Linked DNA regions of Arabidopsis thaliana. The protein of the gene in region 2 interacts with the protein of the main gene of each other region in a pairwise test. Each region holds a gene or a part of one and is shown on either strand. Other genes may lie near its edges.

What was found.
Region 1: the proteins of AT3G52250 (region 2) and AT4G00390 interact in a two-hybrid assay, tested with the Arabidopsis thaliana proteins (one large-scale study listed by BioGRID).

Annotation. Positions count from the first base shown.
Region 1 is NC_003075.7:170,797-174,733, reverse strand, and holds AT4G00390 (DNA-binding storekeeper protein-related transcriptional regulator), read left to right. Parts: upstream 1-1,888; 5' UTR 1,889-1,989; coding exon 1,990-3,084; 3' UTR 3,085-3,247; downstream 3,248-3,937. Other genes in the region: GPAT8 (glycerol-3-phosphate acyltransferase 8), read left to right, coding at 19-422.
Region 2 is NC_003074.8:19,374,403-19,382,354, reverse strand, and holds the start of AT3G52250 (Duplicated homeodomain-like superfamily protein), read right to left. Parts: upstream 6,218-7,952; 5' UTR 5,969-6,217; exon of another isoform or gene 5,873-5,968; 5' UTR 5,727-5,872; coding exon 5,549-5,726; intron 4,838-5,548; coding exon 3,701-4,837; intron 3,474-3,700; coding exon 2,403-3,473; intron 1,840-2,402; coding exon 1-1,839. Other genes in the region: AT3G52240 (transcriptional regulator ATRX), read left to right, coding at 6,556-6,587, 6,673-6,796, 6,873-7,038, 7,134-7,305, 7,536-7,845.

The DNA.
Region 1 (3,937 bases), on a different chromosome or scaffold from region 2:
GTTTTTGGTGTATAACAGGCGACTTGGTGATATGTCCGGAAGGCACGACGTGTAGAGAAGAGTATCTACTGAGATTTAGCGCTCTATTCGCAGAGCTAAGCGACCGGATTGTGCCAGTAGCGATGAACTGTAAACAAGGAATGTTCAACGGGACCACAGTTAGGGGTGTGAAGTTTTGGGACCCTTACTTCTTCTTCATGAACCCAAGACCAAGCTATGAAGCCACTTTCTTGGATCGTTTGCCTGAAGAAATGACTGTCAACGGTGGTGGCAAGACTCCTATAGAGGTGGCTAATTACGTCCAGAAAGTTATCGGCGCGGTTTTGGGCTTCGAATGCACCGAACTTACTCGCAAGGATAAATATCTTTTGCTTGGAGGTAATGACGGCAAGGTGGAGTCTATCAACAACACCAAGAAGTGAATATCTTATTCTTGTTATAACTTGGCATTGACTTATTGCAAGTAAGGTTGGATCATATACGAATTTTCATGTGTGTAATTGCTTGAGCTCTTGTCATCATTATGGTACGTTATTGTTATGTTTATTCTATTTTGTTCTTAATGTCGAACGGGTAACTATATCCTTAAAAACTATTTTGTGATCCCGTTTCTATACGGATGTGTATAGAGACTTTCTATTTAAAGTGCAAAATTTTATTGGAGGAAGTAAATTTTGGATCATGCAAATGTAAATACATACGACGTATATATGTTTGAATAAAACTATGTTTCGGTGGAATTGTGAATGATTAATTATGGTTTTTTTTTGTTGCAAAAGTAGCAATTTTTTGAAAAAAATAATTAAATTTTTAACAAACTAAATAAGATCATTGTTAACTATACGCTTTTATAAAAAATCTCTTGACAAAAAAACAAAAAAACTTTTTATTACACTGTCATAATTTCTTTTATTTTTAGAGAAATTAGATTCGTTTTACCGAATTGAAAAATGGTGATATCAATATGAGAGTGTAGCAGACGAGAGATCATGAATTTTGAGTTCCAACGTAGAAATGTCTACATTATCATCATGAGAGTGTTGGCGGACAAGAGATCATGAATTTTGAGTTCCAATGTAAAAATGTCTACATTATCATCATTTAAGTAACAGACGAAAACTTGGGATTTGATGTATTATATTATTGGTGCCAATTCATTAAAAAGAAACTCATATTCCTGTATTTTTTGGGATGATTTTATAAACATTGGCAGTAAGAAATGAATATATTTCTGTATATAGATATTTCTGTATATATACAATTAACAGAAAAATGAAATGAAAGCAAAAAAATCATTACAGTGCGAAAATATGTGAAGCAAAAATGTGAAATTATACTTATTATGATTTGTCATTAATGTCATGATCTAAACCTAAATTATTCTTTCATTACAATTTCTATATTAGTTTTTAGTGGGCTTTAATTATACATAATATTAAACTCCTTCACCAAATATTTGTTAATGAGAATGAGATCCATGAGAATGAGATCTTATTATGATTTGTATGAGAATGAGATCCATGGGAACATTAGGCAAATCAAAGATTTGTATATAATAAGCAAAAATGTGAAATTGTACTTATTATGATTAGTCATTAATGTCATGACCTAAACCTAAATTACTCTTTCATTACAATTTCTAACATTAGACAAATCAAAAATTTTTATATAATAAGATTATAAAACTTAACAAATAATATTCTTTGAGATTTAGAATCTTAATTTAATGACAATATTAATTGTTTAACTCATAGAACAATGGAATTTTAACGGGAACTGCTACATTGGAAATATGAAACGATTTGAATAAGGAAAGCAAATTTCGCAATTATTGTTTGAGAATATCGAAATTGATTATAAATATTCCTTTTCACTTATCATCGTTTCGTCACAAACCCTAAGAAGCTTCTCATCTTCCTCACAAACCCTAAGAAGCTTCTCATCTTCTCTTTCTCTCGAAAATTCCGATTTGCTCTTTTGAAACTTCCGATGACGAAGAAACTCGATCCACCAACGGCACCTTCAAGCGACGAAGATGACGTCGAGACTTCCGAAGATGATTCCTCTTCATCTGAAGAAGACGAACCAATCAAATCCCTTCCCGCCACAACCGCCGCTGCTCCTGCTAAATCCACCGCCGTCTCCGCCGCTACTCCAGCTAAATCCACCTCCGTCTCCGCCGCTGCTCCTTCTAAATCCACCGCCGTCTCCGCCGCTGCTGATTCCGATTCTGGTTCGGAGAGTGAAACAGATTCGGATTCTGAATCGACGGATCCTCCGAAATCTGGATCCGGTAAAACAATCGCTTCAAAGAAGAAAGATGATCCGTCGTCGTCGACTGCTACTTTAGCTTTACCGGCGGTGAAATCTGGAGCAAAGAGGGCAGCGAGTGAAGCTGCGACGACTTCAACGAAACGAGTCAAGAAAGATGAAGAGAGTGTAAAGAAGCCAGCACTTTTTCAAAGACTATGGAGTGACGATGACGAAATCTCTATGTTACAAGGAATGATAGATTATCATGCTGATACAGGGAAGTCTCCTTCCGCAGATACTAATGCGTTTTACGAGTTCCAGAAGAAATCTATCAGCTTTGAGGTTAGTAAGAGTCAATTCTCGGATAAGGTTAGGAGTTTAAGGAAGAAGTACCGTGCTAAAGAAGGAAAGGACGAACCTAGGTTTGTGAAAGCTCATGATAAGAAAGCTTTTGAATTGTCAAAGTTTATTTGGGGACCTAAAGGAATAGCTCTTGATTCTAATGCTAAGTCCAACGGTGTGTCGAAAAAGAGTGCGAGTAAGACGAAGGAGAAGCTTGATTCTGTAAAGCAAGACTTGGCGTTTGTTGGTGTTTCTTCAACTAATGGAGATGATTGGTTTGAGAAGTCGTCTCTTGCTAGGATGATTGCTGGTTCGGGTATTGATGAGTATTATGTGAGGCAGAAATGGAGTTCGTTTACTCTTGAGACTAAGAAGATTGTTGAAGAGAAGTTTCAGTTGATGCAAGCTAAAGAGCTTGAGGCTATGTTGGATAAGAGTGTGCGTTTGACTGACCTTACGTCTTACTTCGTTGATGCTTCGAAGAACTAGAGCTACTAGTTACTTAGATTTGTCGGTTTTTTGTATCGTAATGCTATGCATAATGCTTTCTTTTGTTTTTCGGATTTAGGATTTGATTCTTTCTGGTTTGTTTTTTTGGGGTTGAAAGATTCTCTACGTTATAATATTTATTTTTTTATTCGTCAACTTGTCCTTATTATACCTCATCTTTGTCTTTTAGAAGTTCTTGTACCAACTCCAAGAACGAATCTATGTTCCTGACAAAACCGCCTTGTACCATTGTTAGGTAAAGCTTCCCAACCATAAGCATCTGCACTTTGTAACTTGATTGTGTTCTGTGAGAGTTGGAGTTTGAAAATGATGAGTAAACTGTTACATTGAGAAAACAACTCTTACCAAATGAAGATTTTCTCTTCATAAGTTATTTCCAAAATCAGACATTTAGCAAGTTATACCTACTTTGCATCCAAGTCTGTTGGTCACAAAACAAGACCATAGCAATGCAAATATAGCTTGGTTACAAAAAATTTAGTCACATTGCTTCAGGATGATTTAACTATATAAACAACACAGTTTTTGTGTCTGGTATAGAAGATAACACTGTTTTGTTCAAAGCTTTTGACTTATGAACTACAAAAACTAAAGCTTTGTTACTACTATTAAGATACTGCCTAACTCGTCCAAAATAAGCCAAGAAGAAACCTTAATAAAAAGATTATTGACTATGTTACATGCCAAAATAATCTTAACACAAACTTGTTTGATCATCATTTTAGGTGGCTTTTAACAAGAACTTAAAACAAAAAGCATAAACCAAGATTACAATAATTACAGATTCGAATTCTTTCAAATCAAAAGGTTTAAGAAATTAGTCTCCATAGAG
Region 2 (7,952 bases):
AACCCAAGTCATGTGTTTCGTCAACTTGTCCAACAAGAGAATTTCCTGACTCGGACTCTGCATGGCAATTTGGATTTCCTCGTGGTGCACTGACGCCTATAGGGTTTTCCGTACACACCTCAATCGGAACATGGTGAAGACACTCAGGGTACCTGAAACCTGAAGGTGCACTTTCAGGTTCAAGGCCAGAATTTCTGGTTCTGTTTGCAGCTTGCATCACTCCATCTTGATTCTTTGAACTAAATTTAGGCATTGTAGCACCTTGATCTCCTGAGCCCTTTCGTGAGATTTCTGTAGGGGTTTCCACAATAACATTGGAAAGAACACTTAGGCCACAATACAATGGCTCGGAAGATATAGTGACAGATGTTAAGACACCTTCATCGATTTCCATTGACATGAGATCATTGCTCTTGCTTTTTCCGGCAGCCTGAGACTGGCTCTCAACAGTATTAATATCTACCAAATCTCTACAAGATTCTGAAACTAGACTCGGGAAACCGCCATTGACATATGCATTGTTCACGAGATTATTATCATCTTTCAGACACAAATATTTCTGCCCATTCTCTTCTTCTGATCTACTAAGGTCGGCTTTCACATTTGCAGAGCCTGATTGATTAACACCATCCTGATTCATATTAAAAGGTGAGGTAGGAGAATTCATACCCATCTTGGCACAAACTCCATTATTCACTATGCCAGAGTTACTCTCCATAGGACAAGGATCTTCCAAGTCGCTCCCACCACCCTCATTGCCATTATCAACACTTACGGATGTGCTTACATTTCCAGATCCAAACTTTATAGATTCCAACCCAAGACATTTCCGAACTTTGCTGAAGAAAACCTTACACTGATCTGGAGATCTTGTCCCGACGTACCTTGATATTGAAGCAAAATTCTTGCCAAAAAGCGAAAAACCCTGTATAAAGGCAGATCTCTCATCATCTGTCCAGTGAATAGGACCTGTTTCCCCACAGCTCTCTTCCGAACATGAGTCATCTTCTTCGTTGCTGTTCTCATTGTGTAGAGTATTGCTGTTCTCATTATGTAGAGTATGAGATATCCGAGGTTTCTTTACGACATGATTAAACTTCAGATGATCCATACACCTCTCTCTAGAGCTCACAGAAGTCCTTAAGCAAGAATTTATCTGCTCTGGTGACAAAGGACCAACAGCTAAAACATCTGCACCAGCAGTTCTCTTACGTGGGAAATCAAAACTGTAGGAGCACCCTTCAGAGTTATTTCCATCGTGCTGCAATGAATTAGCACTGCTGCAACCTCTAAGGGTGATCTTTTTGGAAGAGATCGGCCTGGTTGATGCAACCTTTCCAGCGTTTGCTGCTATAATGGAGACATCCCCTAAAATATCAAGAGAGGCAGCCCCCATCTCACGTTTCCACTTTTTTCGTGGAGCCAACATGTAGGTGTGCTTCCCTTCCTTACCATAAGCACGCTGCTTCTTTATTTTCCCAAAACAATCAGACTTGTGGTTTTTGTAGTAGTAATCAATACAGTCCGCAGTTGTCTTTTGGGTAAGAGATGAAGCAATCTTCTTGAAATCCTTCCCATGCATTGCTAGCAAATTCAGAAAGATTTCTTTCTCCTCTGAGGTCCAAGGATTAATCATTGTTCTTTCCTTCTCAACGTCACATGGATCTTCAATCAGTCCATTGCTAGAAATAAACCTCGACATCACCCTCTCTTTCTCATCCAAAATCATAGCAGGCATTTTCAAAATGTCTCTAAAAGGCTTTAGATGGGTACCCGGAAGTAGCTTTTCCATATAACTTACGAGCTCTGTTGTGGGGACTACACTATCCCTTCTTGGAGCTGCACAGGTAGTGTAAAACAGTTATTAACTTTAAATTCGATGAAAAAAGGCTTCAATTCATCTGTGATCATTATCCCAAATTTTTACACCGCAATCATCTCCTGCGTATTGATATACTTTCTAGTTAGCATCTAAGACAAATATTTACCTACGACAACATAAAAGATAGACAAGAAATAAGCATCTGCTTAAACTATACCTCCTCGTTAAACAAGCTAGATGTTAAAATGAATATTACAGTGGATATAATACTAGAATAAAACCAACATCTAACATAAAATTAAAATAGCGTTATCAACATCCAACAAACACGTTAGCATGGAATGACTCTGAACTTAGCTTGCAAATAATGAATTATGACCACTATGTACAGCTCTGTAACAATAGTTCTCAAGAGTTGTATATGTTTCTCTCAACACCTCACGCCCTTGAAAAATCACATAATTCAAGTCTCTACAACTAACACATCATAAAAGCCAAACTTCATCCCAGACAGCGACAAACCACGACAAGCTTAATATATCAGAGTAAATAGAAGAGAAAAGAGGTTTGAGAACTTTACCTGAAGAAGAGAACCTCAGGCGTACAGATTGGGGAAGCTTCAGATACCCTCCATTTTTTGCATTCGGATATAGTTCTGTTTTTTTGCTAGACTTTGATTGGTACTTTGCTAAAGCTAGCTGATCCAAATCTTTCTTCCATGAGAGCTGAAACGCTTTAAACTGAAGGAGTAAAATTTTCTCCCTAGCTCTCAATAGGCCTACCCTATCTGCAATTTTTTCTTGGACATGAGAATCAAACTGCGTTTGACATATGCCAGGGAATCTTGAGTTGTCAGACGAATTAAAATCTCTTGGAAGCAATTGATTGAATACTCCAGATGATTCACAAGCATATTTCTTATTGGCAGATAATAACTTAGCCCAGAACAAGTCTTCTTTGGAGGCCATGCTGTCATCAGCAGAAGAAACCTCAATAGTTTCCTGATTGGCAAAAGCAGGTGTGTTAATCTCTTTCGAAGAAACAGCTGCCTTCATAGATGGTATGGGCAGTATATCTTCCTCTCTTTCAACAGTGGCAAAAGATTGGGATAGAGGTTTAACTTCCCCAGGACTATCTTCAAAAACATCAGCAGGAACCTTGGCTAAACCAGCCTGATGCACAGGAGCTCTCACCAGTGTTTTAGCTACAGAAGAAGCTGTTGCCTTAGGATCCAAACTACAAGAAGCCTGCTCCTTGGGCACATTTGCATCTCCATCACAACAGTATGAACTGGGTCCAACAACACGAGAGTGTCTTCTACCTTCAAGCTTTAGTGTCCTATGTTTGTTTTCAAGGAGATCAATTTCTGATTCAGTCATCTCCACAGCTTTCAAAATTTCACCTTTCCAGGCAAGTAATGTGTTCATTGATGTCAATTGGACAGAACTGGAATCCCCTGTACCAGAATCATCAGTACCAAGTAACTCATTGAGTAAACAGCCAAAACGCTCCATTGAGATGTTATCGAGCTCCTCGATATTGATTGGGAATCGTTCAAGGTGAATACTAGACACGGGACTAGGCGAACGGCACATGTTACTGACATCACTAGCAGCTATAGCAGCCTTCGGAGATGATTTATCAGCAAACCCTGAATGTACACAAAAGAATAAAATTACGAGTGAGTTACACTGTCCCCAGCAGAAGATAACAAAAACAAATGGAAGACATGATAAAAAGAGAAAAACAAAATCAGTGTTTACAAGAACAGATACATGATGGAAGAATTCAAGTAATATGAAAATAATGCAGATAACTCCAAATAGATCAGGAATGAGAAGAGCACGCAGAGAGAAGTATTAACAAATTGTATTGTACCTGGTGATGAACTGCAAGCTACAGAGGATGGTGTTGTAGGGGAACCATAATCTGGAACAATGGCTGCTGTGGGACTTTTATCAGCAATATTTTTGTTTAACGAATGTAGTTCCTCTAAACCGTTTTCCATCAATGTTGTTCCATCTTCATTTGGGTTAACATCAACTTTCTTTTTCTCATATTTCGCCAGTCCCTCACCCCACCCGAGACGTTGTTTCTTTCTAGAACTCATCTCCTCAGAAAGATGAGTAGTTGTGGCACAGGCAGTAGCGTCTCCTGAAGAAGATTGAGTCACAGTAACAATTTTAGGAAGAACCTCAATCTTCCGATCGCTGGAATCAACAGCCCCCAAGCTTTTCAAGCTACTTGAATGACTAAAACCTGAACTCTGAGATGCAAAACTCCCAGAACTATTCCACAGTGGAAGTTTCCCAGTTGCTCCCAGAGAACTCTCCTTTGCACATTTCCTATCACCGTCTATATCATTGATACCATGTAAACTATTGTTATCTTGCGGGTCTTTCAGGCGAAGTTGTTCCCAAGTCCCCTCCAGCTCTGCATTGGGGATTGGAGCATCTAATGAATTATCACTAACTAACCTTCGACCATACATCAAATCATTGCATTGCTTTGCTGGTGAACAAACCTTATTGCCATAATTGTTCTCAGAAGAAGGCCGTTCAAACAAGCTAATACATTCAGAATGAGGATCTGAAGGAAGTGATAACCTTTGATCTGAAAATTTATGCTCATTTTTAATTTTAAGAGACCGTACTGGGGTACTGATCTCATTGTCCAGATAATGAGCCGAGTTGGCTGGATCCAAAGAGTTCACCACGGTAGAATGAGTATCTGAAGCATGTAGCGGCCTTTCATCAACTGACCTCCGACCATTTCTAATACCAAATGGCCTCTCAAAACTTCTAGAAGATCCGTTGCTCATCTCCCATGTATTGCATTTCCATTCCTTTTGGCTTACAGAAACTCTATCATCCCTGCAATTCCTGGTATATCTCCAGTCTCCACGCGATGCTGATGGCCTATAATTATCAAACATTCGGGCACTGGACCGAGAAGATGTGTATCCATGACTAGTCTCCTCCACAAACTGGTGCCGTCCACCCTGCTTACCATGACCTTCAGAAAATTTTGAAGACAAAAGGAAGATGAGAATCACAAACTAAAGCAAGACCTGTATTCAACCAAATATATAACTTGTGAAACTAAAAACGACATCTATCCAAAAAAATTAGACTTTTACTGCTGTCAAAACATGTAGTATAAGATTCTCCAAAAGGAAGTCAAACTTAGAATCATTATAACACGAAGTCAAGTTAGGAGAAAAAAGTGTCATTACGCCCACACAGGGTTTCAATACTAATAGGAAAAATTATACAAGTAAGAAACCTGCAAAAGTAGGAGCTATCTTCATCTAAATCTACAACATGTAAAACTAAAACTAACAACACTCCACGATGCTAGGACTTTTTATCCGTTTTAAGATTCATGAACACAAAACACAAACACAATTGAGGTAATAAAGTCCTCTTGCAATGAAACTAAATCTACCTGAGTATTAAAAATTGCTCCTTTGAAGAGTAACCTCATCAATTCACTTCCTATCAATCTTAAGAGCTGTGTTAATGCTCCAAAAATACCCTAAGCTATCATGACACAGTGAGAACTCAATCTAAGAAACAAGGATTTGCCTCTAAATCAATTCAAAAAAAATTATAGAACCAAAAAGGAAAAGTGGATATCTAACAAATCCACAGAAAAATAGACTCTACCAAAAACAGAGCAGGAGAATTCAAAGCCCTAAATTAGAGAGAGAAAAGGAGGTCTTACAAGAAGGTCTGCGGAAGTCTCCAGATCCCAAACGAGAAGAAAACTCTCGAGGAACATGGTGAGAAGAAGGCGAATCCCTCCATCGAAAAGGCGGGGATTCAAAAGATTGTTCAGGCCTATCGTGTTTCCTTTGCCTCAAGAGCTCTTTCCGATCCCACGAAGCGTGATCCTGCGGCATCAAGTTATCCAGAAGAATCGCATAAGAGTATCCTTCAAACCCAACTCCAGATTCCCTCCGTACCTACCTCCGTCAAAAAGGTCTCGGAACAAAAAAAGAAGAAGAAGAGCTGGTGGGGAAACCAAATCAATGAAGACTCGTCGTTTCTGAAACCAAAATCAAACTAGGGTTTCGTCAATCTGAAGATTAAAATCCGAAGTAAACCCAAAAAGAGCGGAAACAGAATCAAAAGAGGAAGAAACCTGAGAGCGGAGCTGTATGTAAAAATCACTACTGAGAGACAAGGAAGGGAGATTTCACCGCTGAAGAAAAAAGCTCAATAGAGAAAAAGAGATTTCCTTTAATTTCGGTGTTGAAAGACAAAGTAGGTTTTTTTATGGCGATTCCTCTCTGTTTATTAGCTCACAAAATCCAAAGAAGAAGAAGAAGAAGAAGAAGAAGAAGAGATAGAGAGAGAGAGAACAATGAAGAAGAAGAAGGAAAGAGAAAATAATCCCTGTAACCTAAAGATTCCAATTAAACTCTATTTCATTTTATTTTTCGCGTCCGCTCTATTTATATTATTTTACTCCTATTCTGAAAAAGACATTTTTTTTTTTTACTTTTTTTTTTCTGTAAATCTCAATCCAAATCCATGACTTTGTCTACTACACAAAAAAGTATAAAATCGAAATTAGTAAATACTTACAACCAATGAGAAGAGAGTAAAATACATTAGTGAAAGATTAAAAAAAAAACTATCTTCATTGACTTGTGTAAGCAAAGAGAGAGACGTCTTCTTCTTCACACCGATCTTCGAAGTTCGTAGATCTTTTGGTTCGTCTACACGATGGCGAATCAAGACAAGTTAGATCATCATCGGTATAGTTCTGTCTTTTTTTTTCCAGATGAATAAGATCGTTTTGCGAATCGAAATTTAGATTTGGGTTTTGGTACATTTTTATAGGTGTATTGATTCAGAGGCACAAGATCCTACTTCAGTGACTATTGAGTTTCTTCGTGCACGTTTATTAGCTGAAAGAGCTGTTTCCAAGAGTGCTAGAGCAAAGCTTGATGGTCTCGCTGATAAAGTATGTTCTTTTATAATTTGTAGGGATGATCCAGTGAAATGTTCTTTAGTCTTATGTCCTGTCTTAATATCTTTAGGTAGCTGAGTTAGAGGAACAGCTCAAGATTGTATCTTTACAGAGGAAGAAGGCTGAACAGGCAACTGCTGATGTTCTTGCGATCTTAGAGGAAAATGGGTATAATGATGTGTCTGATGATTATGATTCAAACTCTGATCATGAATGCTACTCTCAGAGTAACTCAGGTTAGAGTTTTTATGTGATAGGAGGAAAGTTTCTGATTCATGGGTTTAATGAGATTTGAGCAACTCTCAGTGTCGGAGATTTGTTTGTTTTTTAGTGTTAGGCAAAAGTTTGTCCTGGAAAGGTCGCAGGAGGGAACCAGGTTCTTCTGACAAGATCAAGGAAAACCGGAATAGGAGACATCACAGAGGTTTCGAGTGTGCTTATTTTTCCTCACCGAGACATCGTCAAGGAAGATCTTGTCGGCAAATTAGACGTGGTGAAGCAAGGTCTGTTTTGTTATCTTTAGCTGCTCAGTGATTTATGAGTGGTTTACTATTACAAATTGTGCAAGCATTGCCTAGAAACACAGTGCTTAGAAATTTGAGATTGAAGGTTATATGCTTAGAAATCGTCTCTCTAATTATATACATCATAAATCGCTTTATTAGTAAAGCAATTGTAAAGCTTGCTTATGTATGTTGTGTAATAGAATAACCAACATTTTTCAACTTTCCAGAAATGTATCTGAGGATTACAAGAGAGATGGAAATCCGGTTGAATTTCAAGAAAATGGAGTTCGCACTGAAATGCTTCCTCAAAAGAATGATCAAGTATCTAGAACCGTGGTGGATGTTGCTGTTGTGAAGGGAGACGATAGTTTGAACAAGTTGTCAAATTCAAATGGTTTAGAGAAGGGAAACAGTACGGACATCAACTTGGAGAGAGCGTTAGAAAACCGTGCTCAAGTTATCGGATCTTTTGAAGAAATGGAAGAGACTCAAAGGGAATGGGAGAAAAATTTCAGAGAGAATAAATCATCTGCCCTGGTATGCCCTATATCTCAGGCTTTGACCTTTAGAAATTGTTTTCATCAATTGTGATTATGGTATATTTCGTGTTTATATGAATCAACCAACAAAGTTTCTTTTATGTG